Linked DNA regions of Coturnix japonica. The protein of the gene in region 1 interacts with the protein of each later gene in a pairwise test. Links are inferred from orthologs where the notes say so. Each region holds a gene or a part of one and is shown in the gene's direction. Other genes may lie near its edges. The genes, in order: UBE2I, CZH18orf25, RNF4, KLHL12, TRIM54, ATXN1 and ETV6.

What was found.
Region 2: the proteins of UBE2I (region 1) and CZH18orf25 interact in a two-hybrid assay, tested with the Homo sapiens proteins (2 studies listed by BioGRID and IntAct). The two-hybrid records come from large-scale screens. The link is inferred for Coturnix japonica from reciprocal best matches to the Homo sapiens genes UBE2I and ARK2N.
Region 3: the proteins of UBE2I (region 1) and RNF4 interact in a two-hybrid assay, tested with the Homo sapiens proteins (3 studies listed by BioGRID and IntAct). The link is inferred for Coturnix japonica from reciprocal best matches to the Homo sapiens genes UBE2I and RNF4.
Region 4: the proteins of UBE2I (region 1) and KLHL12 interact in a two-hybrid assay, tested with the Homo sapiens proteins (2 studies listed by BioGRID). The two-hybrid records come from large-scale screens. The link is inferred for Coturnix japonica from reciprocal best matches to the Homo sapiens genes UBE2I and KLHL12.
Region 5: the proteins of UBE2I (region 1) and TRIM54 interact in a two-hybrid assay, tested with the Homo sapiens proteins (3 studies listed by BioGRID and IntAct). The link is inferred for Coturnix japonica from reciprocal best matches to the Homo sapiens genes UBE2I and TRIM54.
Region 6: the proteins of UBE2I (region 1) and ATXN1 interact in binary tests that used the Homo sapiens proteins (3 or more experiments, as listed by UniProt). The link is inferred for Coturnix japonica from reciprocal best matches to the Homo sapiens genes UBE2I and ATXN1.
Region 7: the proteins of UBE2I (region 1) and ETV6 interact in a two-hybrid assay, tested with the Homo sapiens proteins (2 studies listed by BioGRID and IntAct, with this or other methods). The link is inferred for Coturnix japonica from reciprocal best matches to the Homo sapiens genes UBE2I and ETV6.

What each region holds. Positions count from the first base shown.
Region 1 is NC_029529.1:7,286,290-7,289,507, forward strand, and holds the end of UBE2I (SUMO-conjugating enzyme UBC9), read left to right. Parts: intron 1-266; coding exon 267-376; intron 377-583; coding exon 584-663; intron 664-2,057; coding exon 2,058-2,121; 3' UTR 2,122-2,718; downstream 2,719-3,218. UniProt on the Homo sapiens protein: Accepts the ubiquitin-like proteins SUMO1, SUMO2, SUMO3, SUMO4 and SUMO1P1/SUMO5 from the UBLE1A-UBLE1B E1 complex and catalyzes their covalent attachment to other proteins with the help of an E3 ligase such as RANBP2, CBX4 and ZNF451.
Region 2 is NC_029547.1:1,819,759-1,823,258, reverse strand, and holds part of CZH18orf25 (uncharacterized protein C18orf25 homolog), read left to right. Parts: intron 1-2,143; coding exon 2,144-2,326; intron 2,327-3,500. UniProt on the Homo sapiens protein: AMPK substrate important for exercise capacity and skeletal muscle function.
Region 3 is NC_029519.1:74,944,716-74,948,215, reverse strand, and holds part of RNF4 (E3 ubiquitin-protein ligase RNF4), read left to right. Parts: 5' UTR 1-82; coding exon of another isoform or gene 83-85; 5' UTR 86-132; coding exon 133-141; intron 142-627; coding exon 628-748; intron 749-1,498; coding exon 1,499-1,578; intron 1,579-2,771; coding exon 2,772-2,781; intron 2,782-3,500. UniProt on the Homo sapiens protein: E3 ubiquitin-protein ligase which binds polysumoylated chains covalently attached to proteins and mediates 'Lys-6'-, 'Lys-11'-, 'Lys-48'- and 'Lys-63'-linked polyubiquitination of those substrates and their subsequent targeting to the proteasome for degradation.
Region 4 is NC_029541.1:899,991-903,490, forward strand, and holds part of KLHL12 (kelch-like protein 12), read left to right. Parts: intron 1-578; coding exon 579-796; intron 797-2,430; coding exon 2,431-2,580; intron 2,581-3,192; coding exon 3,193-3,307; intron 3,308-3,500. UniProt on the Homo sapiens protein: Substrate-specific adapter of a BCR (BTB-CUL3-RBX1) E3 ubiquitin ligase complex that acts as a negative regulator of Wnt signaling pathway and ER-Golgi transport.
Region 5 is NC_029518.1:95,417,684-95,421,811, reverse strand, and holds the start of TRIM54 (tripartite motif-containing protein 54), read left to right. Parts: upstream 1-1,328; 5' UTR 1,329-1,395; coding exon 1,396-1,563; intron 1,564-1,703; coding exon 1,704-1,876; intron 1,877-2,269; coding exon 2,270-2,441; intron 2,442-2,535; coding exon 2,536-2,631; intron 2,632-2,875; coding exon 2,876-3,109; intron 3,110-3,195; coding exon 3,196-3,218; intron 3,219-3,372; coding exon 3,373-3,497; intron 3,498-3,580; coding exon 3,581-3,673; intron 3,674-3,812; coding exon 3,813-3,851; intron 3,852-4,128. Other genes in the region: DNAJC5G (dnaJ homolog subfamily C member 5G), read left to right, coding at 298-442, 681-763. UniProt on the Homo sapiens protein: May bind and stabilize microtubules during myotubes formation.
Region 6 is NC_029517.1:67,238,775-67,242,940, forward strand, and holds the start of ATXN1 (ataxin-1), read left to right. Parts: upstream 1-1,366; 5' UTR 1,367-1,706; intron 1,707-2,236; exon of another isoform or gene 2,237-2,480; intron 2,481-2,511; exon of another isoform or gene 2,512-2,983; intron 2,984-4,166. UniProt on the Homo sapiens protein: Chromatin-binding factor that repress Notch signaling in the absence of Notch intracellular domain by acting as a CBF1 corepressor. Binds to the HEY promoter and might assist, along with NCOR2, RBPJ-mediated repression. Binds RNA in vitro.
Region 7 is NC_029516.1:65,808,950-65,812,449, forward strand, and holds part of ETV6 (transcription factor ETV6), read left to right. Parts: intron 1-964; coding exon 965-1,129; intron 1,130-3,500. UniProt on the Homo sapiens protein: Transcriptional repressor; binds to the DNA sequence 5'-CCGGAAGT-3'. Plays a role in hematopoiesis and malignant transformation.

The sequences.
Region 1 (3,218 bases):
GCTGTGGAATTGCCTGGGGTGGTAACACAGACATGGCAGGTTTCCTGCTTTTGGTACAGGCCACAAGCCAAAGTGCAGCTCTTTAACAATAGCTGTGGAAATCTCCTGTTTGGTGAGTGGGGGAAGTTGGATGGGGGACAGATGTGCAGAGAATTTGTGTGTATGTGTGTCTCTGGCTGGTTTGTTTGTCCTACACTGATGTTCTAAACAATCTGTTACATATTAGCCTTGGCTTCGCATGCCAGTAACTCTTTTTTTTCCCTCAGGTAAATTTGAACCACCATTATTCCACCCAAACGTGTATCCTTCAGGCACAGTGTGTCTCTCCATCTTAGAGGAGGATAAGGACTGGAGGCCAGCAATCACAATTAAACAGGTCATTAGTTGTACCTATGCATATAATTATGCTTCTTTCTCGCTTTGCCAGTGTGTCTTACATGAATGTAAAATGCTCATTACATGTTTCTACGGTTGGGATTTTTGGTGTGAATGTAGTGATTTATTTTTTTTTTCCTTTTGTTGCATGTTTCTTCATCACTTAGTAATATCCGTGCTTCTGTTGCTTCTGTACCTTCATCCACAGATCTTGTTAGGAATACAAGAACTTCTAAATGAACCAAATATTCAAGATCCAGCTCAAGCAGAGGCGTACACAATTTACTGGTAAGTGTGTGGATCACCATGAGAGCTGCATGTTGCCTACAGCTGTCTGTTGTCGATGGTACATGCAAATGTTTGGGGGAAGGATCAAGGGAGCTTTTCTGCCTTCATGGCTATGTCCTGTTGAGATGCCCAGCTTATGCTGAACTCAAGCTAAGTAATACCTCCAGCATTTATAGGCTAATGGAACTTTTAACAGTGTGACAACAGAAAACATGAAGATGCGTTCAGTTGGACCATGATTCTCATCTTGGTCTCAGACCAGTACAGATTCCAAAGCATAATGATTTCATAAGAACAGTGAAAGTGAGAAGGAAGAGAGTGGATTAGTTGACAAGTTCCATTGGTAAATACAGGGGTAATTTAGTTCTGTCCAGCAATGTGCACCTATAAGTGCTTGTGCCTGAAGGTTGAAGAGCTGTGGTTGTTAGAAGGATTTTATGAGCTTTGAAAACTGGTGTTCAAAACTGTTTTTAAGTGTATAGGAGGCCTGGAGCTTTAGGGGAGTTAAAATTCAAACCAAAAACCCCACCGTTTTTTAGGCTCAATCTTAAAATATTCCTATCATTAAAAATAGATTACTGACCCATAATTCTTAAGGAAGCAGTACACTCTGTAAACAAATGCTTTTGGCACTGACAGCTACTGAAATAACGACTGAAACAGAAATGCAAAATTAGACTGAAGAACAAGTCTTCAGGAGAGTCCCAAGGTAGAAAAATAGCTTGTATGCAGAGTCTCATAAAAAGTCATGTCAGAAATGTCATACAGGACCACAGAGAGAAGGAATCATAGGGATGGATGGTGTGTATCCTATTTATAGACCTTACTCAAGGGTATTCTTTAAGTATCTCTGAAGACTGGATGAGTGTGTTCAAATGGAGGATGGTTGTAGGCAGTGCCTTAGGGAGCGAGGAATGACAAGGCAGACCCACCTTCTTTTCTCCTCTTGGATAAGAAAAAAAATAGTCTATGGAAATATGGAGCAGGAATAGAATAATTCTCTGAAAGCGTACATAGCCCATGACCCATTTTATACTTCCCCTCATGTGTTTATGCAAAAACCATCTCTGCTGGTCTTGTTCCTGCATAACTGCAGAGGCTGTGAAGGCAGGTTGTTAATTTGTACCTCAGTGACTGGTTGGTACTAATTGATACTGACTCACGGATCTTGGACTTGTTCTCATTTTTGGGGTTGCCTTTGTACTGTTTTTCTGCAGTACTTCAGGTGTGCTGTGTACCTCCTCCTCTCCTGTAGTTGTGCAGTTTGCTATGGAAGGTGTTCCTTTATTCGGGTGCTCTGAGTTGGGAGAATTAACAGCTAGAAACAGGAGGGAATTTTGCAATTCGGCCTTATTTCTCAAGCTTTAATTGCCCTTTCTTGTTCTTCTATTCAGCCAAAACAGAGTGGAATATGAAAAGAGGGTTCGAGCACAAGCCAAGAAGTTTGCACCATCATAAGCATCTGTCATGCAGCATCTTAAAAAGGAAGGGATTGGTTTGGCAAGAACTTGTTTACAAAACTTTTGCAAAATCTAATGTTGCTATGTACAATTAATATCCACTTAGGGGAGGGGGTTGTATGTGTGCCATTTTCCATATTCGCCACTTGTATACAGTTCTAAATTTGCTGAATTGCCCCCAGTTTTTTCATACAGGGTCTCTTCCTTCAGTCTTTTGTATTTTTGATTGTTATGTAAAACTTGCTTTTATTTTAATATTGATGTCAGTATTTCAACTGCTGTAAAATTATAAACTTTTATACTTCTATAAATTCACTAGTATCTCTAGTTACTTTGCTATCTGATGCAGGCATGCTTTAAAATGTTAGAACTATATTTAGCCTTTAGCTGGCTGTATGGAAAAATAAAAATCATGCCCTCCACCCCCTTCCCTCCCTGAATTTGTTTTTCTATCTTTCAGAAACTAGGTTGTTATTGCTTAAGAGCCTCTGAGATCCAAAGTCAGCCAGCATCCTTATTCTGCATCACTTCCTTTGTGTTTATATGGCATTGTCTGTGTTGCTGTTTAGAGTAAATAAACTGTTTATATAAAGGGCTTTGTTTCATCCTCTTCATTAAAAGGCCGCTGTTTAAGCAGCTCTGAACACAACTCGGTTAAAAGTTGTGATGCTTTACTTCTCAGCTGCTGCCTCCTTTATTTTCCCTGTCCCTGATGTAGAGGTGGTCTGTCTCTGTGCTGATTACTGGCAGCTATTCTATAGTTGACCAGTTCCTTAAGCACCTTATAGAGTTGTATGACTAACTAGGGATCAATTGCTTATTGTATATTACAGACTGGTCTGATCACTGGAATATGGAATGATACAAGCATGAATGAACAATAATAGAAATGCTCTGAAGATGAGGGGGCCTACAGGATCTGGGCATTATATGTACTAAGTAACATTATGGGTTGTCTTCCTATCCAGTGCTGTTGAAGGGTTTGTGGAGAGGTTTATTTGAAATTTGAAACCAATTGGGTGCTTGAAACTTGAGAGTATCTACTTAAAAGGTAAAGGAAGAAGAATACAATTAGTAACAGCTCCTCAGGGGCTC
Region 2 (3,500 bases), on another chromosome or scaffold:
AAGAAGTTACTTAGGAAAGCCTTACTAGAAACAGCTCTTCAGATACCTAGATTTGAATCTTACAGTTCGTTGCATTCTTTCTGTATTCAGCAGTAGACATTTGCTCCTTCTAAATCAGACCAGTCTTCCCTTTCAACACAGCAAAGTGCACTTGGGCTGGAGGAATCCCAGGCATATATACAGACTAGAAGGAGCAGTCCTTGAGAGGAGCCCTGCAGAGAAGGACCTGGGGGTCCTGAGAGATGAAAAACTGAACATGAGCCAGCAGTGTGCTCTTACTGCTTGGAAAGCAAATGGTATCCTGGGCTCCATCAGAAGAGGGGTGGCCAGCAGGGACAGGGAGGTGATTGTCCCTCCCTGAGTCCAGGTCTGGAGCCCCCAGTAAAGGAAAGAGAGCTGCTGGGGAGGGTCCAGAGGAGGGCTGAAGGTCCTGTCCTGCTCAGCACATATTTAGTGTCCCATTGGGGTGACACTGTGTGCGTATCATGTAATAATGAAGAGTTCCCCCCAGGCATGCAACTGCCAGCGCTCCTGTGGAGCTGCGCTAAGTGCAGTGCTTTGGCCCAGAACATTTCTGCATTTCATGCTGATTTCTATGGCTGAAGGCTGAGCCCAAACAAAGTTTTCATTCTGCCATTTGAGGAACAAGAACTCCAGCCGCTGTCACCCACTCTCAATTGATAAACTGTAGTAATTAGCTGAGGCAAAGTGTCTGAATTAAGTGCATCCTTTCAGCATTAGGATATTCATCCAGTCTCTCTTTGCTCCTTCATTTATCTTGAATTCGACTTTTTTTTTTCCTGAGCCTCTTCCTTTTCTAGTCTGCATTCCAGTGATGGGGGATTTTCAAGACTCAAAAAGAAAATACACCACTGTAATAAAAGGGACCAAACTCACCTTTTTGTTACCCCTCAGTAATTGACTTCAGGATCATAGAATGGCTTAGGTTGGAGGGGACCTCAGAGATGATTGAGCTCCAGTCTCCTGCCATGGGCTGGTTGCCAGCCACTAGATCAGATTGCCCACAAAGACATCCAGCCTGCCCTTGAGCACCTCCATAGGGGTGTTCTCCTCTCACAAGCCCAAGGCTATTTGCAGCTCCTAGGCACTGACAACACAAGGAACTTGAATACACATATTGAGGCCAGCCAGACTAACTCCACATCCCCACTATGCTGTGTGCAAATACTTGCATAAATGTCCTTGTCTGCCCCTGTAAGAGCATGAGGTTTGCCCAGGAACTCAGATTCACTTGATCACCATTTGTGCCATCGTAATAAAATTACACAGCAAAGATACCATATAAAAGATCAGTTCATTTTTGTTAATGCTTATTCAGTTGCTATCGTTTATTATTCAAATATTAGGGACTTAAGAAATTCAAGAAGAAAACGTTATTTATAACTACCATTAACGTCTATTGAAAGCAGTTATAAGATACACTGCTTTTATACAAATCACCCTTATGGCTTCCACTAATCATGCAAGCAGTTCCCTTTCTCTCTCTCCTCCCCTTCTATTTGGCAGCCAAAAGCACATATGGTAGTTAGGAGAAAGCATATTTATCACTGCACACCATAGATCTGCTTCTTGCTAGCCTTCATTTTGGAAGACAAAGCCCAAAACACTGGAGAAAAATTCCCCTGTCCCTGGTGGGTTGATGCTTTGTAAGGAAGTGTTAAATTAGTGTTATTGCAATTGGATCACTCCTATTAGAAAGTTAGTTTTATTCAGACAGCCCTACAATAACGTAAGCCGTAGATTGAGATTACTTGTAAAATTCCTTAATCAGATGGTTTGACAAATTTGATGGCCTGTAATACAGCGTTTATTTTAAAATGAAGGTTCTCTCCTTTTGGGATTGTAAATGTGACGCTGTCAGATACGGAGATGTTTATGTGCTAATGTAAAAGATAATACAGATACCACTGCCTCATCTTTGTGTTTTCTGTCTATATGCAAAGGTTAAAATGTCTCTGTAATCAGGCTGTTCATTATCTGAAGTTCAGAAATTGATACTGATTACATTTCTTTAAGAGCCTCGTTAGGGGATTGCTTTAATTTTTAACTTATTTGTACTTCTAAAGGTGCCTTTTACTGTATGCTGATGTCTGACAGCAGCTGCCTTTCTCTCCCTTTGCAGATGGACCTCCTGTTGTAGCTCATTATGATATATCAGACACAAACTCAGACCCTGAAGTGGTAAACGTGGACAATCTGTTGGCGGCTGCTGTGGTGCAAGAGCACAATAATTCCTTGGGAAACCAAGACCTGGGATCTGCCTGGGGAAACAGGGAGCTGCTGGATGAGATGGGTGCTGATGCAGGTTGGTTTGAGCTCCCTTCCTCTGGTGTTCATTCCTGCTTCTCACTCAGTGTGTCCACCTCCCATCCTTTCAATGTTTTTGTGATCTATACAGCTTTAAAAGCACCTTACCCATGCAATAAAACAGTATAGGTGCTTATTGAAAGTGCCTGACATTTACTCCAACCAACAACCGATAAAGACTGACAGAGTTTCTGACACTGGGTTTCTTAATAATTTTCTTTTCCCCCTCTAATTAGTTAAGTCTGGTTTGTTCTGTTTGTTTGTTTTCTTGTTCTGGTGGTCGTGGGAGTGTTTTCCTGCTCCCTAATGAAAGTGAGCTACTCTCACTACTGAATAGTTGATTATGATGACCCAGATAGCTGCCAGCTAGTAAACCAATCATCATCTCATTTTAATTATTGTAATTGTCTTTATATATCTTTTTTGGGGTCTCTCTTGTCTTTTTCACTCTGCAAAATGCAAGCATTCATTTTTTTTCCCTCATGCCATCTGCATTTTTAACATACTCCAGAAAATTGGACATTCCAGTTTCAGATAAATACAAAGGATGCAGAGGTGCTGCTCGTAATTGGGCTTCACATCAGTGGGCTGAATCCTCCTACAAGAAGGCGAGAGCAGGAATAGAGTGGAAGGCTGTAAAGAAGCTCCTGGACCTCATAATGTTGCTCAGATCCACTTGGCACACAGGAGCTATGCAGTAAGATGAGGTGCTCCAAGGTCTGGGTGAGAGCTGTGTAAGCAGAGCACTCGTGGGGGTGTTTTCTGTTGACTTCACCCCATTGCCCCGAATGCCTTATAACATAATGCCTTCCTTGCCATTCATTTTTGGTACACCGTTAAGGTTTTCACTTAATGCTAGGGCATGGAGGCTTGCTCATGGTGGAGCAGAGCTTTGTGTTTCACTCTGTGTTTTAAACACAGGCTATACTGCACGCCTCTGTGTAGCTCTGAGCTGCTTTTCAGCATCCATAAAGCTTAAGCAAATACAAATGCGTAGCACATTTTGAAAGAGGTGTTCCATTATCACCTAGTGGAGAGGTTCTCTTCTGGAATACAAAGGACCTCTGCTGTGTTACCTTTGCTGCATTCTTATTGAAGCCTAATACATAGCACCGACTGTTTGGTACTTCATCAGAAAGAAAGGAATGTAAGGAAATAAAAAGTGAAGATTT
Region 3 (3,500 bases), on another chromosome or scaffold:
TGAGAAATCTGGACTTTTTAACAGTGTACTGCCTAAAGAAATATAAGGAATTGAGAATTGTAGCTTCCTTGCGTTTAATTTTATGGTATTTATACCTCTTATTTTTTCTGTAACTCTGTATCAAGAAACACCATGAGTACAGTAAGTATTTTACTGATCAATGCAAAAGTGATTCTTAAAATATATTTATCATATTTATATAAATCTTGGTAACAGTTTACTGTAAATACGCTGCAGCACTAATTTGCCATTTAACTTCATGTTCTGTGATACTCAGAAGTTTCTCATCTGTAGGTGCTATAGCAGCGTTTCAGAAATAACTCAGAGCATGAGTGAAAACTGATGGCATTGATTGGCTGGAAGTTAATACCTGGTGTCATTGTGAGCTCATCTTCCCATGTAGACCTTCAGAATGTAGTGTGGCTTTTTCTTTTGTGATTCAGCTGGTGGGAGACCTGGCATGGAGTCTGCTCCTTGATGAGATCAGTTCAGATAGGAGTCATTTACCGCTGTTATATTTATGCTACAGGCTTCTAGCGGTGTGTTTTGTTTACCTTGATGTTGGAAAGGTGGGGGCTGCATTAGTATTACTCCTAAAGAACGTACTAAGGCTTTCTTCTCTCTTAGACTCCAAGAAAGCGCCGTGGAGGATCAGCTAACTCTAGGCAAGCTCAGAAACGAAGCAGACTGATAGCTTCTACCACAGAGATGGCTTCAGAAGGAGAGCCAATAGAACTGGAAGAAAGTGGTAAGCTTTCTTTTGAACTATATAAGAAAACAGGCTTCTCCTGGAGTGCTGGGAATCCACATAATGTGGTTTTGGCCAGTTTCAAGGTCCTTTGAAGGGGAGTGGAAAGCTACTTATTTAACAAAGGACATAGTATGGAAGCAGTGAACAGCAGCAAGCCTACCGACAGCTGTTTAAGATTGTTACTGGGGTGCAATTGCTAATAGGTGAATTAGGTAAGAAAGGTGCATGTGTGTTGCTCGCACATCCAGTTATCTGGTCCGATGCACTCGGGGTTACTGCAGCTGCCACTTCAGATAACAGCAAACTAAATTTGGAAACTTGCAAGTAAATAAATGGCTTCTTGTGGTTTTGCTATGTATTTGGCTTTTGAAAGTTAGATGAGATGTGATACTGGAACACTTACAGCGCAGGACTGGAAAAGAAATATCCTGTTTGATTCATGTTTTAAAGCGTGATAAACGTTCTCCTATATTAGATGAATGTGTTGCTGTGCACCTCTCACAAGATACTGATATATCAGAAAGCACATGAGGTCAGTTAGTTGTGCACTGCAACTTGCAGAAGCTGTTAATACTGTATATATAGACCGCTGACAGCAAAGCTTGAATGAAAAGTTGAGTATGTTACCAAAGAGAAGAGGGATGGGCAGTGTTGTATGATACCTCAGCCTGTTATACACTGTTATACACTGATGGGTAACTTTACTCCTGTGAGCTCTGATTTGTGTTCTAACATTATGTTTTTAAGCTGGTGAAGAAGTAGTAGATCTCACGTGTGAATCTTCTGATCCTGTAGTAGTTGATCTAACTCACAATGATTCTGTTGTGGTAAGTAGTGACATGCTTATCTAAATGCTGTAGTCAAATGAGTTCTGTGTTCTTGCTGCTGATAGAGTCTAAGGATGAGCTGAAAGTTGGCTTTTCAGTACATGCATTCCTTTGAAATGTGTATTGACCTACATTAAGAGATCTGTGCAATACAAGCAAATGGATACACTCCCTGCAGAAGTAAATTTACTCTGTACAACACTGGGCCTCGGGTCATAGCTTACCAGAGCCTTAGATTTTCAGAAGAAAGGCTTCTTAGTTTGTCTTCTGGCATCTCAGTAGGTAGCCTATGTTAAAGGGTTAAAGTGTGGCTCTTATTTAGCATTTCACAGCTCACATCCAATCCCAGATAGACCTATTAATGTATCTGCATCTGTGACTACCACCTGCAGGTGATGAGCACAGTCTGTTGTAGCTTGTTGCTCCCAGTCTTGGGGTTATATTACCCATCATGGGTCATGTAAGTAAATGCCATTTAAAGCTGAAGGTGTGTTGAATATTTCAAAGAAAAAGGCTGATGATTTAAACAGAAAATCAAAGAAGTAGCAGTAAGTCTTCAGCATGACAAATAGGAAGTGTTCAGGCATCTACAAGTTGCCTGAGCAACTAGGAGCTAGTTAAACTTATAGCAAGTCTTTGAAAATTCACTTTTTTGTTACTGTTGTTATTAAAGCTTGAGCAGTATTTGATCCAGTCTGCAGTGTAGTTAATAACGCTGGTTTGGGGATGCCACTGCTGCCTTGTAGAGCCAAAAACAAGCAGCGGGAATAACAGTTTGTTGCTGAGCCAGTACAAGGGGAATGCTGCAATCCTTATAGCATGGTTTGCGTTGCCCTGGCTTTGGTTCCGCTGAATGTAACAGCGGGTTGGTTTTCTGTTTTTCAGCCTCAATCAAGTTGGGGTACTGAAACTGGGGAGCAGAGAGGAGATTAAGATGGCTCCTAAGCTGCCTCCATTTCCTTCCCTTAGCAGCAAAACCCAAAGTAATCGCTTAATAAACGAGTCACTTCTCTGAAACTATTTTAACATTTTGTTAATCAAGATGACATTGTGGTATCCTAAAATTCTTACTTTGCCTTGTTGTTGGTTTCATAGCTATTCGGGTGCTTGTACATAAAACTTCAGTGCATGCTACAGTTTAACTTTATTTTTCTTTTCCCTCCCATGCTGTATGTGTTGGTTCATCGTTGAAGATCGTTGAAGGTGAGTTTCCATTTTACAAGCATCAAGGAATTGTCCTGAACTTTTCCTTTCCCAACAAACATAAGCAGCATGGGTTGAAACTGCTTTCATGGAAAGACAGAGAGCAGTGCTGTAGTACCTGGCCAGCACCTCAGGGAATGGATTCAATCTATATTTCAGAGTCTCTGTGAAAGCTGATGTGAAGTATCTGAAATAAAAGCCACTGGATGTTCTTAGAATACATTTTTCTTCTCCAGTGCAGAAGTTCCATAAGCATGAAGTCATCAGTCACTTGGGTTAGCCTTTGTAGCAGTGGAATATCTGCTTTGAGTAAGACCTTGTTCAAAGGCCTTATTAACCTGTGTTGCACTGAAGGAAATGAGGTAGAAAGATATCAAAGGTCGTGCTGCTTTCATTATGTAGTCTGACACTCCTCAAATGTAGCACTGATCAGTGCTAACAAGTTGGGTGTTTTCTGCCTCAGGTCTAATTGTAGACAAGGTATAACAAAACTAATCCTTTGCACCTTTCAGACCTTATTCTGATTACAATACCCGAGGTGTGTTAATAAGCTGTTGTCTCGCTCCAATTTAGGAGTGAGGCAAAGGTTCTTTTGATATGTTATGCCCAGCGTGAGATTAAGAAGAAGAGCATTCAAATGTTGATCCGACCAGTTTATTGGAAATGATAGACAGCTGAGGGGATGGGGAAGGGAGAGCGACGAATGCCAAAAGCGTAGG
Region 4 (3,500 bases), on another chromosome or scaffold:
AGCAGTGCCTCTGTGCTGTGCTCAGTCTGGGCCTTGGAGCCATAACACCTTGTGTCAAACTCCTCTTGTCCTTTGCACGCTGATCTTGGTGTAGCAGAGCTGCCCCATCTAGAAAAAGAGACACGGGATGGATTCTTTTATCCGTGCTTTGTGCTACTTCATGTCTGCGTGGCAGTGCCTGGGGGGGGGGAGCTGACAGTAATAAGCAAAGCCCTGGTGTCGTTTGGCATTGCCAGGTTAGCGTGGCTGCTCACAGCTGGGCAATCCCATGGCACATCCACTTCTGCTTTAGGAGCTGCAAAGTCAGTGCAGCTCACAGTTACCAGTGTCAGATTTAACCTGGGGGAGGAGGGGGTTAAACACAGCAGGCACAAACAGCACAAGCAGCCGTCCTGCTGCTCAGCATTACTGTGCCCCTCGGAAGAGACATTGCATGTGTGTGCTTGAGTGGTGTTATTCCACTGCTGTTCAGTCAGTCTGTCCTTATTGTTTCCAACTTCCCTGTACTGAAGCCCTTTCCCGAGCAGAGGGCTGACAGGATGTGTTCAGTGCTCATTCACCCCTCCGATTTTCCATAGGTGTGAAACAAGCTTGCTGTGAGTTTCTAGAAAGCCAGCTGGATCCATCAAATTGTTTGGGCATTCGGGATTTTGCTGAGACACACAATTGTGTTGATCTAATGCAAGCTGCAGAGGTCTTCAGCCAGAAACATTTTCCAGAGGTGGTTCAGCATGAAGAGTTTATCCTCTTAAATCAAGAAGAGGTTGAAAAGCTCATCAAGTGTGATGAAATTCAGGTAAAACCTGAACGTACCATTACTCTGCAAAGCATTGGACGTAAAGCATTGAAAGCTGTTGGAAACCAGCCCGTAGTGCTCAGGAGGGACTCACCCATCCTTCCCCAGCTGGGAGTTCGCTTTCCAGGAAGGTTCTCCTCATTCCTTTGGCCCCATAACCTCAAACCAATGGGTGATGTGCAGGCTGTGTGTCTGAGCGTGTTGTCTCGGGGCTGCACATCACTACCTCCATGTTCCCTCTCCTCCCCCTCTCCCCGGAGGAGGTTGCAGCCATGCGTTGTCTCGGTGCCCACGTTGCAGAAACGCCCACAGGACTTTAACTTGTTTGCAGACCGTTGTGGTGTTACTCAGCAGCACGAGCAGTGCATGTGTCGTTCCCAGCATGCAGCCCTTCTGCTTGCACAGGGTGCAGAGCGGGGCTGCTAGACACTGCTTCAGGCGGTTACATGAAGGTGTTTCTGCCTCTGAATTTTGGTACGGACTGTGTTCACTCAGAGCTGGATTCTGGAGGTGTTACTGCATGGCTGGGAACCGTCTGATCCTGTTTGGTTTTTTACCCAAGTTTTCTCTGAGTGTGTATTTAGTTGGGAACTGAAATAAGGTGAATATTGCCTGAGAATAGGAAGGGGGCAGTTCTGTGTTGTTAAGCTGGACTTCAACAAGAGATGGTGTTTGCTTCAGCCCTAAAAGAAGTGATGGAGTCGTTACTCAGAGCTCACAGCAGTGTGAGCTCCTTGGAGCAGGTTGTGTCATTGGTACCTCCTGAGTTCCTCAGAGCCCCTCGAAGGGGTGACCAGAGGAGAGATGTGGATGTGTGCTTTGAAAGGCTGCAGCAGAAGTGGCCTTTGGCCAAGCTGATGTCATTAACAAACCTTGGAAAGGAGCACGCAGGGCGGCAGTGAGGGCTGCATGCAGGTGGTGCTCAGAGCAGGGGAGGGCTGAGGGCGCTGGGTGATCACAGCAGTGTCCTTAGTGCTGAGGTTTGATCTGGGTGGGTTGTGGTGAGAGCTTCTGGGCAGCCAGGGATCCCAGGGCTGGGAATGCTTTGTGTTGGAAGGGATCGTCCCCCAATCCCTTCCACCTCCTACACCACCTGCCCAGCAGCACTGATGGGGATGGAGCATCCCCTGCTCCTCCAGACTGTGTGTTTTGCTGCCTCACCTCTCTTGTGGTGAAGAATTTCACTGCAATTACACCTAATCTAAACCCGCTCTCTTTTAATTTAAAACTATCACCTGCAGGCCCAATAAAAAGGTCTCTCCTCATCTTTTTTGATGAGCTCTCTTTAATTATTGAAAGGCTGCTGTGAGGTTGCCCTTCCCCACGTGGAAGGAGCACAGCCCCTCAGCCCATCCCTGCAGGAGGTGCTTTGTCCTCTGAGTGTCACTGTGGGCTCTGGGCCCTCCATGTCCTCATGCTCAAGGAGCCCAAAGAGCGGGGCAGAGGGGCAGAACCTGCTCCCACACTGCCTGCTGGGCTCCTGTCAGTGCAGCCCTGGCTGTGATGCTGCTGCCTGGTTTCTCACCCACAGCAGACTCCCATCTGTGCTCTCCAGCTGCTGCTGGGCACAGAGCTGTCCGTTTAGCCACAGGCTGCTGCTCTCCTGTCTGAGCAGTGTGTCCCTCTTCCTGCAGGTGGACTCAGAAGAACCTGTATTTGAGGCTGTTATAAACTGGGTGAAGCACTCAAAGAAGGACCGGGAGGCGTCGCTGCCGGAGCTGCTGCAGTATGTGCGAATGCCGCTCCTCACCCCGCGCTACATCACAGACGTTATCGACACCGAGGTATGGGTAGAAGCAAACCAAGATGTGGATGATGAGATCTTTAAGCTTTTGCAATGGAAGTTTTAATTTCAAACAATCAATGCTGATCCAGTGCAAGGTTTGGCAGCAGGGCACTGTGAATTCGGCCTTGGTGTGGTGCAGCAGCACATGGTATTGAACACCCACAGGGAACTGGATGTGGAGCTGCAGCGGGGGGTTGGCCCAGGCCCAGCTGGGGAACAAGGAGGACATGAGGCAATGCTTAGGGCTGCTGTGCCCACAGCTGCTTCTGGAGGAGACTTCCCTGTTCTGAGTTCCGCCCATAGCAGGGTGTTCCATACAGAGCAGCGCAGTTTGGGCTTTGCTCCATGCTGTGTCTCTGGCAGTCACATATTGAGCTGACGCTGTGGGGCAGACCCAGCCAGGCCCACTCAGCCTTTGCTCCCTCCTCAATTGGGTTTCCACTGGCTAACATGTAGCAGAATCCTATTTTCCTCAGTTTTCCAGTGTAGGGTATTTTATCCTGTAATCTGCAGTGCCACGAGAGATGAGCTGTATGAGAACAGTCCCATGGCATCTCTGGGGGGATCTTAGCACAGACCACTGGTATCAGTGACTGCTGTCTTTCTGCAGCCGTTCATCCGATGCAGTCTGCAGTGCAGAGACCTCGTCGATGAAGCAAAGAAATTCCATCTCCGTCCTGAGCTCCGGAGCCAGATGCAGGGACCCAGGACCAGAGCCCGTCTGGGTGAGTGGTGTGGAGGTGCCGGGAGTAGCTGTGGGACCTGCAGGAGCTGTGTGTGCCATGCAGTGCTGTGGTGCTCTGCAACAAAGACTTCTTGATCTGCAGTGCACAGTGGCATAGAAGGGGGACAGCAGTGCAGGACAGGGTGGCTTGTTAACGAGTGGCAGCACAGGGAGTAGCTGGTTGCCCTGCTCCT
Region 5 (4,128 bases), on another chromosome or scaffold:
GGCTCCAGGCATCCTACAGTGGCCCTGGGATTCTCATGGCAGCAGGACACTGAGGTCTCTATGTGGCCCCAAAGGTCTCAAGGCAGCCCTGGGGTCTCACAATGTCTGGGTCTGGGGTCTCAGGTGGCCCTGGGGTCTGATAGTGGCCCAGGGGATCTCCATGGCAGCTGGGCCCTGTGGTCTCAGAGCAGCCCCATGGGTCTCATGGCAATCCCAAGCTCTTAGGGCATATTGGGGGTCTCGGGGAAGCCTCGGGGGTCTCTGGGAAGCCTCAGGCTGTGACATCCCATCCCGCAGGCCCTGGCGCTGTGCTGTGGTTTGCTGACCTGCTGCTGCTGTTTTTGCTGCTGCTTCTTCTGCTGCGGGAAGTGCTGCCCACCCCGCGAGGACGAGTCCTATAAGTACGTCGACCCCAAGGACCTGGAGGCGGACGATGGTGGCGGTGAGTTGGGGTCCAAAATGGTGACCCCCCCCACGATGCTCCCGGCTCACAGAGACCTGCAGGGGGGGCTGCACCGGGCTCGGGGGCTGGTGGGACACGTGGGTTGGGGGCTCTCTCGGTTTCCTTAACAGAGGAACAGAGACATGAGGGCCGTGCTGGTGCCAGGGGCAGCCCCGGATCGCTGCCAGGACCCCAGGACTCCCTCCTGGTTCCACTGACCCACACATTTTCTTTCCAGACCCACAGGTCCCGGTGGAAGCGCAGCCCCCCGCAAGCAACGCCCAGCCCCTGCCTGCTGCCGGAGCCAGGAGCGAGGCATAGGGCCACCTATGTGCCGGAGGGGGGTGGGGGGTAAAGCCTCCTCCGGGACCACCGCCGCTTCCCAAGACCCCATCGTGGGGTGGGGAGGGGGGTGTACAATCTCAGGTGAAACCGTCCTACAGCGCTGTGACTGAGACCGGTAGCACTGTAACCCCGGGGCCGGACCCCCCTGACGGGAGCTGGGTGCCAAACGCTGCTCTGGGGCTGGTATGGGGGGGGAGGAGGAGGGGTCGGAGAGGGGCCTCCCGTCGCGCCCCACTCTGCCTCGCCGTGGGGCCGCACCGCGCTCGTTATGGGGCTGGGACCCTTCAGGCACTTTCCGTGGGTTTGTATATGTTATATGGGCACCATTAAAGGATGATGGGGGGGAGCTCGGCGGTGTCGCTCTCTCGTCTCGGAGCGGCGGCTGTGGAGCCGGGCTGGGGGGGGGCAGCGCCGTGCCGCTCCCGGGGGGCGTCGGGACGGAGTGACCCCGGCGGTGGGACGGCCGCCCGCCGTGACTCAGTGTCACCCGACGCCGCCGACAGCTGCGCGGCCCCGACGGGGCGGGGGCGGCTAAAATTAGCGCTGCGGGGCCGGAGCGGGGCAGTGAGGGGCCGGAGCGGTACCGGAGAGGTACCGGGACCGCGGCGATGAACTTCGCCGTGGGGCTGAAGCCGCTGCTGGCGGAAGCGCGAAGCATGGAGAGCCTGGAGAAGCAGCTACTGTGCCCCATCTGCCTGGAGATGTTCAGCAAGCCTGTGGTCATCCTGCCCTGCCAGCATAACCTCTGCCGCAAGTGTGCCAACGACATCTTCCAGGTGCGGGGCGCAGGGACCGGGCTGTGCCCGGGGTTGGGGGCTCCGTACACGGGAGGAGGGGGGATCTCTGTCTCGGAGCGGTTCGCTAACCCCTCCTTCCCCCCCTGCCCTGCTCTCTCCTTTCCCCCCTGCCCCCCCAGGCCTCCAACCCGCTGTGGCAGTCCCGGGGTTCCGGCGCGGGGCCGTCCGGGGGCCGGTTCCGCTGCCCTACGTGTCGCCATGAGGTCCTGCTGGACCGGCACGGTGTGTACGGGCTGCAGAGGAACCTGCTGGTGGAGAACATCATCGACATCTACAAGCAGGAGTCGGCGCGGTGCGGGGCGGGACACGCGTGGGAGGGAGCCCGTGGGGATGGGGGGGGGGTGATTGGGGCTAAAGGGGCTCAAGGGCACCGTGGGGTGAGGTGGGGCGGGGGATGCCGTGGCTTGTGTGGTATGGAGGGCTGTGCAGGGGACACGAGGGGGAATGAGCCTGGGTGGGGGGGTATTGGGGCTAAACTTGTGGGGCTGGGGGTGCAGTGAGGCGGGGGATGCTACGGGGCAGAGGTGTGCCGTGCCGTGGGGCCGTGCCGTGGGGCCGTGCCGTGTGCCGTGCCGTGGGGCCGTGCCGTGGGGCCGTGCCGTGGGGCCGTGCCGTGGGGCCGTGCCGTGGGGCCGTGCCGTGGGGCCGTGCCGTGGGGCGCAGCGCCCTCTCCCTCCCGTCGCAGCCCCCTGCACGCCAAGGCGGAGCAGCAGCTGATGTGCAAGGATCATGAGGATGAGAGGATCAACATCTACTGCGTCACCTGCGAGGTCCCCACCTGCTCCATGTGCAAGGTCTTCGGTGCTCACAAGGACTGCGAAGTCGCCCCTCTGCAGAGCATCTTCCAGGGCCAGAAGGTGGGTGACCCCCAGAGCCGGGGGGGGGGTCAATGGAGCGGGCGCGGTGGGAGGGGTTTCCCGGTGCGACCCCCGACGCCGCTCCGCCCCCCAGAGCGAGCTGAACAACTGCATTTCCATGCTAGTAGCGGGGAACGACCGCATCCAGACCATCATTTCCCAGCTGGAAGATTCCTGCCGCAGCACTGAGGTGGGGCTGCCCTGTGTGTGCCTTCCCCCCCACACCCCCCCCCCAGGCCCCGCGTGTGGGGTCTGCGTGGTTCGGGACCCCCACCCGGTGTATTGTGCCCACATGGTGGGATGCTCCTGGGAGGGAAATCCCCACTGCAGCCATGGAACGCGGGTGTCCCCAGGGCACAGTGACACAGGGGTGTCCTGTGGGGCCGGGCTGGGAGCGTGGCAGCCCCCTGAGCCCCCGGGGGGGGATCCTACAGGAGAACGGCCGGCGGCAGAAGCAGCACGTGGGGCTGCGCTTCGACTCGCTCTGCAGCATCCTGGAGGAGCGCAAGAAGGAGCTGCTGCAGAGCATCGCCCGCGAGCAGGAGGGGAAGGTGCAGCGCGTGCGCGGCCTCATCCGACAGTACGGGGACCACCTGGAGGCCTCCTCCAAGCTGGTGGAGACGGCCATCCAGGCCATGGAGGAACCTCAGATGGCCGTGTACCTGCAGGTGCCTGGGGGGGGCTGTGTGCGGGGCGCCCTGCGGCTTGGTGCGCTGCTCCTGGGATGCTGACGGCACTCTGCTTTCCCCCACAGCACTCCAAGGAGCTCCTGAAGAAGTGAGTGGGGTAGGGTGAGATGGGATGGGATGGGATGGGATGGGATGGGATGGGATGGGATGGGATGGGATGGGATGGGATGGGGAGGGGGATGAGATGAGGATGGCATGGGGGGGTGGGTGGGCAGGGCTGATGCTGCTTGCTGTACCCCCAGGATCACAGACATGTCCAAGGTGTCGATGAGCAGCCGCCCTGAGCCCGGCTATGAGAGCATGGACCACTTCTCCATCAATGTGGACCATGTGGCTGAGATGCTGCGCACCATCGACTTCCAGCCAGGTGCCAGCATGGGGCGGGCGCTGCCTTGGGGAGGGGACTGCAGCAGGGATGTCCTCACACTGAGATGTGCCTCTGCCCCACAGAAGCGCTGGGTGAGGATGATGGAGATGGACCCACAGACAGCAGTGAAGGTGCAGGGGATGAGGAGAGCCTGGAGGCACCTGAGGCTGCTGAAGGTGAGAGTGTGTTGTGCTGTGCCGTGCTATGCTGTGCCGCAGTCACCACGGTGCTGCCGTGGCTGCGGCGTGGCCATGTACGGTGCATGGTCTCACCATGTGTCCCTCTCTCCACCTGTCCAATGCTTTTTCTCTACAGATGTGGGGCCAAGGCAGAAGCCATTGAGCTCTCCCCATGGTGAGATGCTCTGTGGGGATGAGCAGGGTGTAGGGATGGGATGGGGATGGGATAGAGATGGAGTGGCAGGGGATGGGATGAGGATGGGTGGGGATGGGGTGAGGATGAATGGGGATGAGGATGGGTGGGGAGGGGGGGAGTGAGGATGGGGATATGACAGGGATGGGATGGGGATGGGGTAGCAGGAGATGGGGTGAGGATGAGTGGGGAGGGAGGAAGTGAGGATGGGGATAGGATAGGGATGGGGTGGCAGGGGATGGGGTGAGGATGAGGAGAG
Region 6 (4,166 bases), on another chromosome or scaffold:
TTGCTGAGTGGCACGGGCATCCAGACATCCGGGCCTGCTGCTGTCCCCAGAGTGCTCTGAAACAGGCATTCACTTTGGGTTATGTAGCAAACCTGATCTGGAGAGGTAGAAGTTGCACTGTTAAAATATGCTTGTGCTCATAAAGCCGGTCTATAAGACAGTACCAACTCTCAGTCATGAGCTGTGCAGATTACCATGTTGTTAGCACATTCTCTAGGAAATATAGAGGACGAGTACAGTCATTCATAGAAGGGACTGCTTTGCTGATCTGCATACTGACAGAGCCCTAGGGTCTTTTGCATCCAGACTAACGCTAGATCCAATGCTGAAACACAGCGGTACTACCTGTGGACACACACGTGACACATCGGCACTACAGACATCTGCTCGGAGCTCACAGCTGTGCTGGGGGGGGGGGATTGGAAGAGGCTCAAACAACAGCCCGCTCTGGGCAGCCACGGCACAGGGAGCGCACGTGCTGCTCTCGGAGCCCTTCTGGAGCTGAGACCCAGCCTTGGGGGTTTATGCAGCATTTCGTGTGGTGACTTTGGGATGGGGAGAGGCTTTCCCGGCGCCGTGCGTGCCTTCCTGATGCCAAAGCAGAGCGAGCGGTTCCCTGCGCGGCAGTCGGGTTGCCAGCAAGCAGAGCAGACGCCGTCCCGTGCCTGTGTTCCTCCCATTCATTTATTCGGGGAGAGGCGGGCAGTGGTCTGCGCGCAGCCGGGAGAGACGAGCGAGGATTGTGCCGGAGCGCGTACGAGGAGCGCAGCGGGAGCGAGTACCCAAACATGCGTGGTGCAGCCCTGCCCGCCTCGTAGTGCGGCGACGGAATGAGTCAGAGCCTCTTTGGTCTGAATGAAGTGGAAGGTACTCTCTACAAAGCAACTCGAGCATACGCCAAGGATCCGGAAAAATAAAACTAATTCAGAAAACGGGAGTGGGATGCGGGCTCCTGCGCTACGACGCTTTGAACGGCAAAACGCAATATGGCATCTTAAATAAAATCACCCTCCCCTGACTCTCACGGCGCTGCCTCCGAGCCGTCCCTGGCTCGGGTTTATTTCCTCCCTTAGCGACAGCCCGGCCGAGGCCGCCGCTCCCGCATCCTGGCCCCGCTCTGCTCCCCCCGCTGGGCAGCGCGTCCCTCCCGGTGCCCGCCGGTGCGTCCCTCAGCACAGCGGGCGTCGGGGCGAGGAACGGCCGGGCTGGGGGGGTAAAAAGGGGGGAGGAGGAGGAGGGCGGCTCGGCCCCGGGCGGCCTCCAAAGGGTTAAGGCCGGCGGCCCCGGCGGTGCTGAGCGTATGCAATAATCTGTGTGGCTCTCTTGGCCGCCCGCCAGAGTGCTGCCTTGCCTCCTCCTCCTCCTCCTCCTCCCCCCCGCCCCCCCCTTTCGCGTGAAGTAGGATCCTTGAGCTGTTGCAGAGGCAGCCAACTGCTCCATATTTGGCTTCTATTACACATTTACATACTGGAGAGCGGAGCGGCAGCGAGCGCTGTACTGCAGACATCATTTCTACTACAGCGCCGGAGCAGCCCGGAGCGTGTCCCCGCGGGGGAAGGAGCCCTCACTTACACACACATACACACGCACACATATACACACACACACACACATACACACCCGCAGACCCCCACCCCGGGAGGACGGCGGTGCTCGAGTCTCAGTCCGACCCCCCCCGCCAGCCCCACCTCCACTGACACTTTACAGTAAGTGCCTTTTTCTTCCTCCTCTGCTTTCTGCCCCTCCACCCCCCCCGCTCCTCCTCCTCCTCCCCCGGCTTCTCCCCTTGTTTGGGCTGCGGAGCCGCCCGCGGTTCCCGGCTGGAAAAACACGGGGCTGGGGGCGGCTCTGTGCGTGTATATGTGTGTATGTGTGTGTGTGTATATGTGTGTGTGTGTGTGTATATGTGTGTGCGGGGGGGCAGCGCTGCGGCCCGGCCTCAGGGCCCGGCCCGGGCGGGGGCCGCGACATGGCCGAGGGCAGCGGCCTGGGCCCGGGGCCGGGGCTCGCACGGCCCTCCCGCTCCTCCTCCTCCTCCTTCCTTCTCCCTCACCCCGCCGGCAGGGTGGACATTTTGCGAGCGGCGGCCTCGGGGTGTGTGTTTGTAGCCGGGTGTGTATGTGTAGATGTGTGTGTGTGTGTGTGTGTGTGTGTGGCGGTGCGGTGCGTGACGGGGTGGTGACACGGCCCCTCCGTGTGTGTGTGTGTGTGTGTGTGTGTGTGGGAGAGAGGAGGGGGGGGGCCGCGGCCGGGCCGCACGGCGCATGTAGTAGGGGCTGGGCGGCCGCTGAGGGTGAATGAAGCGAGCGGGCGGCGGAGGAGGCGGCGCTGGGACGGGGATGTGGCCGGCGGCCGCCCCGCGCCGCTGCTGTCGGGGCCCAGGCCGCCTGCGGACAACGCCCGGTACCGCCGCCGGGGGAGCGCGGGCGGGAGGGCCGCGGGGCAGCGCCACTTTAACCCCGGCCGGAGCTCGGGGTCGGGTCGGTGTCGTTCGCTATTACCCCACCCCCACCCCGGTAGGGACGCGGACGCCGCGATCCGCGAGCGCGATTCCTGGGGGTATCGAAGTCTCAATTAAACGCGCTGCGAAACGTCAGCGCCCGCTGTAATAGCGATAAGAACGCGACGGAGCGGGGAGCGCAGAGGAGGAATTACCGAGCGGCACTGACGGAGGAGCAAACAAGTCGGAAGCCGTTATATAATGCGGGGAGCGGCGGCTGGTTGGGCGCCGCTGACCGCACGGAGCGCAGCGCCGGGCCGAGCCGTGTGGGGGGACATCCCGCTCGGTGCCGGGCGCCGCGGGCTGTTTGTCCGTCCGTCCGTGCGTGCGGCGGCGCAATGAGGGCTTTTAATTTCGGTTTCGAGCCCTTCCGCGGCGGTGCGGGCCCGGGCCCTTCACGCAGCCCTTCGGAGACCGCCCGGCCCCGCTCCGCCGAACGATGAGAGAGCGCTGCTATGGCAACAGACAGCCCCGGCCGCTCAGGTGTGCGCGCCGTGAGCCCCGCCGCCTCCGTGCGGGGTGCGGGGACAGGGACGGGGGGAGGCACCGCACAGCGGCTCCGTCAGGGCGCTGCGGGAGCACGGAAACTTTGCCGCTGCTCCTCGCACCCAGCCCGGCTCCGTAGGGCCGGGAATTGTTGGTACCGCTGGGAACGTGAGCAAGGAGCTGTGCGCTGAGGGGCAGCCGGCTTCCTTTGCCCTCGGTGAACAAACCCGAGGGGGCATATCGTATAAACATCGCCACGCGGCTCGTTGCTGATATTCCGATTGATACCACTTTGCGTTTGTGCTCGTTAACATACAGCAGAGAGCGAAACTTTCCGCCCCGTACGGCGTGTTGCCGTGTTGGAGCGGGCAGTGCGGCTCCTGCCCTCCCGGAGCAGCTCATGCCGGCCCTTCCCCTCGTTGCCCGCACACGGGCGCAGGCGTCGCTTCGTGCAGGCACCGAATGTGGCGCTGAGTCGTAATGCCGCGGGCCTGGAGCGGCTCCAGGGGCTGCTTGAGAGCCGCGCACACCGTGTGTATATCTGGGGTAGCTCCGCTCGTTGGACTCCGGCCAGGCGCAGAGCAGAGTAGCAGAGCTCAGGCGCTGATCCGCTGCCTGCAGCCATCGTTTTCCCAATATCTTACCACGGCAAAAAGCAACGTGGGATTTTTTTTGCCCCCTGGAGGTGCCGCGTTAGCCACGTGCGTCCACGCTGCTACGGAGCGCAGCCCGGAGCACTTCGCATCTCGGCGGTGAGAAGCTGCCGGCACCGTGAAGCACACACACAATCACAGCATCACAGAATGACCCGGGTTGGAAGGGACCTCAAGGATCATGTAGTTCCAACCCCCTGCCTGGCAGGGCCACCAAACATACACATTTACTAGATCAGGAGCACCGGAGCTCCCCGGCAGCCCCTGGGCAGTGCACGGTGCCGGCAACTTCTCACCGCATCTCTTCTCCCTGCCCTGCTGTGATTTACTCGGAGAGGCTGAAGGAACCGGTCTTTTATTGTAAGAGACATTTACAAGAGGCCTGGAATTGCACTTAACGAACATTTTTATGTAATAGATCCAGTGGCCTAGTTTCATCTTAATTAAGAAAATAGACGTTAGATGCGCTCACCTGAAAAGCAACTGATTGAAACATTAGGATGCGAAAGTATTGGTCTCAGAGCAAA
Region 7 (3,500 bases), on another chromosome or scaffold:
GTGTGGCAGCAGAATGCAATTCACTGCGTGTGACCTCTTGCTGAAACAGAAAACAAGGTTGCCTGTGTGCAGAAGTGAAAAAAAAAAGCAAAACAAAACAGTACAAATCTCCTGGGTTTCTTTTCTGACTTGGTAAGACAAGGGTAATCAGATCTCATAGAGTGGTGTGCCAGGAAGGAAATTTCTTCCCATGTGCGGCATACAATCAGCCAGGTGCAAGATGAGGAAGGGAGGTTCGTCTTCCTCTGAAGCATAAGGTATTAGCTCCTGCCAGAGGCTGTGTACCAGAGATCTCATCAGATACGGCAAATTTCACGTTCCTCTGCCCAGCGTGAAGCTTTCATTTCTACACAACACATTGTAACAAGTCAAACAATGAGTCATCCCACAAGGGGGAAAAGGAAAGAAAGCTTTTATCTCCCAGCAGACTGGAGATAATCTGCCTACCTAGGTATAAACAATTCTTCACCATGCTGCCTTCTCTCCAGGGGAAGGAAGCTGTTTTAAATTCATCTGTAGAACAGATACTGAATTGTCACACCTCCCAGGGCCAAGTAAAGGTGGCTGGAAGGGGCATGTAGAGAGGGCATTCCCTGCTTCTGTGAGAGGGTGCACAGTGAGCATGGATGGGGCCAGCAGCTTCATCTCCTGCCTGCTCTGAGCCTTGGAAGGAGCAGCTGGGGGTCAACCCCATCCCACAGTGGAAGCCTGGAATGAAATAATATCCTAGAAGGGATGTTGAGGCATCTTGTTTTTCAGAATGTCCAAAATAAACTGAGATACCTAAACTAATGAAGTGTTGCACAGCCCAATGCTTAGTGTGATCCTGACATCTCTCTACCACACCTTGCCTGGAGACTTTGCATGTTACGGTGTGGGGAGAAATGGAGATTCTATGATATTTGCCTATATTCACATACCTTGTCTAATTTTGTAACGCAGTCTTGGTCTTTTCCTGGTACAGGTTTGCAGCCCATTTACTGGAGCAGGGAGGATGTCGCACAGTGGCTCAGGTGGGCGGAGAAGGAGTTTTCCCTGAGGCCGATTGAGAGCAACACCTTTGAAATGAATGGCAAGGCTCTGTTGCTCCTGACCAAAGAGGACTTTCGATACAGATCGCCTCATTCAGGTGAGGAATTCTTATGGAAGCTACAGTTGAAAGAAGAGAAGAAACTGCAACAAGAGGGACAAAAGAGGATACAGAATCATGCTTGTTAGGGTGGGCTGGGCAGTGGAGCAGAGAAGGGACAGAAACTCTTATATGAGACAAAGACAGAAAAGACAAGAGGGAAGAGAAATCTAGTTACCCCTGAGTTGTAAGTAAATTTGGGTGCAACTCCACACCCAAAAATGCAACCTGTCTCTCATTAAAACTCTTTGCAGAACCCACAGAAAGTGGGCTTCTTTGGCAGCATTTCATGGCTTCCAGCTCTTCCCCATAAAGACTTATCTTTTTGCAGACCCAACAACAGCAGCAAGTTAATCAAGTGCTCGAGCCTCTTAAGAAGCTGACATTAGCATTCTGTCTCACAGCTGGCTTGGCTGACATGCTTCTAAGAGTGACTGCAAAATTCATCCATGGGGGACCTTTCCTCTATTTTACAGCCCTTGTGGGCTTTACTTTACTTTATCATACTCTCTCACGTGCTGGAGGCTGGCCCAAAGTACAACACAGATAGGTGTGAATCAGTTGGCCTGTTGTTCAAATTATGTCTTCATTTATTCACACAAGTGATTTAGAAATACATATGTGGTCTTCCTGTACTTAGATCCCCTGCAGTCTTTCTGCTATGGTATCCCAGTCAGAGTAAGCCTCTGCCCTCCTTTGTCAGAGATGTTTAACTAAATATGAGTTATTGGTTCTATATAAGAGTTGTGAGCTTTCTTTTTATGACCATACGTGGTACCTCTGTTAAATATAAACATTTACTCAATCACTATAGATGATCAAAGAGTTTGCACCAAGTGGTTACAGAACTGCTGTTACCAGGCTTGCAGCATAAGATTCGCTCAGTGCAGAAGCGCAGCTGGTGCAGTTTGGCTCAGGCTGATAAAAAAGGAATGGCACTAATTCTGCTTCTAGTTCCTTTGTGACTCCCTTGAATGCACCCAACCATCCTCCTGCAGAATCTGCCTCTCATACTATGGTTTATATTTCTTCTATACACACTTTTCAAAGCATGTACTTTAAACCAAGAATAATTTTTATAAAAGGAATTGCCAGACATCTGTGTCTATTGCTAGTATAATACAGTAGTGAAAACTGATGCCTGGAAACATCCTTTGGTGGGTTTTTTTGGTACTCATTTTGAGCGATTTCATTGCAAAAATTAACCCAGTTTTAAGGCAAAAGAAGTACTGAAAGTGGGCAAGGACTGTAAAGGACAACTCTATGTAACTTGTTTGTTATTCCCCTTATCATACCAGTGCCTTGCTGCCTACCAGTTATTTCTCTACTCTTCCCTTTATGTGCTGTGAGGGCACTTGAAATGAGTAGGATTAAAATGTTTGTTGGCTGGAGATAGAGCGTTCTCAGAGAAGAGCCTCTGGCTTGCAAATCCACACTGTGCAGAAGGTTAAACTCTTGTTTACCTAAACTTGGGTTAGAATGGCCTCTGTCCCAGCTCTTTCTCTCCTCTTTTTCTCCAGGTATTATTCCTCACCAATAATAAACATTTTAGAGGATAGCTCAGTCAGCCTAAATTACTATAGGTAAAATATACCTCAGTGTTTCCCAGTAATAAAATACACGTGAAACATAAGAACTGTAAAATAATATTTGCTATAGAGCTTAAGTTTTTCATAGAGTGTTGATATATAAAGGCTCTATCCTTTCTACTCCTGGTTAAACCAGTAGAATAGCATCCTCTCCTCCCAGTGACTGTACCAATAAAATGGGTACACAGCCACCAGCTATACTCTGATCTAGCACTGGCTCGGGAAGAGAGCAGAGGAGAGAGAGAGTGAGGAGACTTTTGTTCTTGTAACTAATACAGCTGTGTCTTTGTGATGCAGAAGTTTAAATACTTTGTTAGGTGAAAAAAGAAAAGTTATTGCTTGGAGTGTTATAGTACTAGTTATGGTTATGCCACTATTGCATTCAAAGATGCAAATTATGAGGTAAAAGACTTTCATGTACTCAACATGGAAAAGGTAACTGAGTTCTTGAGGCTTTGTTTGTAATTAGATTTTCAGGTATTGCAGACACTTCTTTAAAATGCCCTGAAGTCACTACTGAGACAGTGAAAGCAGCTGAGATGCTAAAAATAAAGGAAGTTGAACTGTGGAAAGCAGGATAGCTTTAACCGTTTCATACTAAGACAATAAACTTCACTGCAAGTAGAACATTATAGAGACAGCAGCTGAATGGCACACAGCTTTCAGTCTCATAGGAGCAACTGTTAACCCCACACACACTTGAGAAAACTCTCCTGGAAAATCCAGGGTTTCCCAGATGAAACTGTTAAGTTCCTTTTCAGATACTACTGCTGTAACTTGTT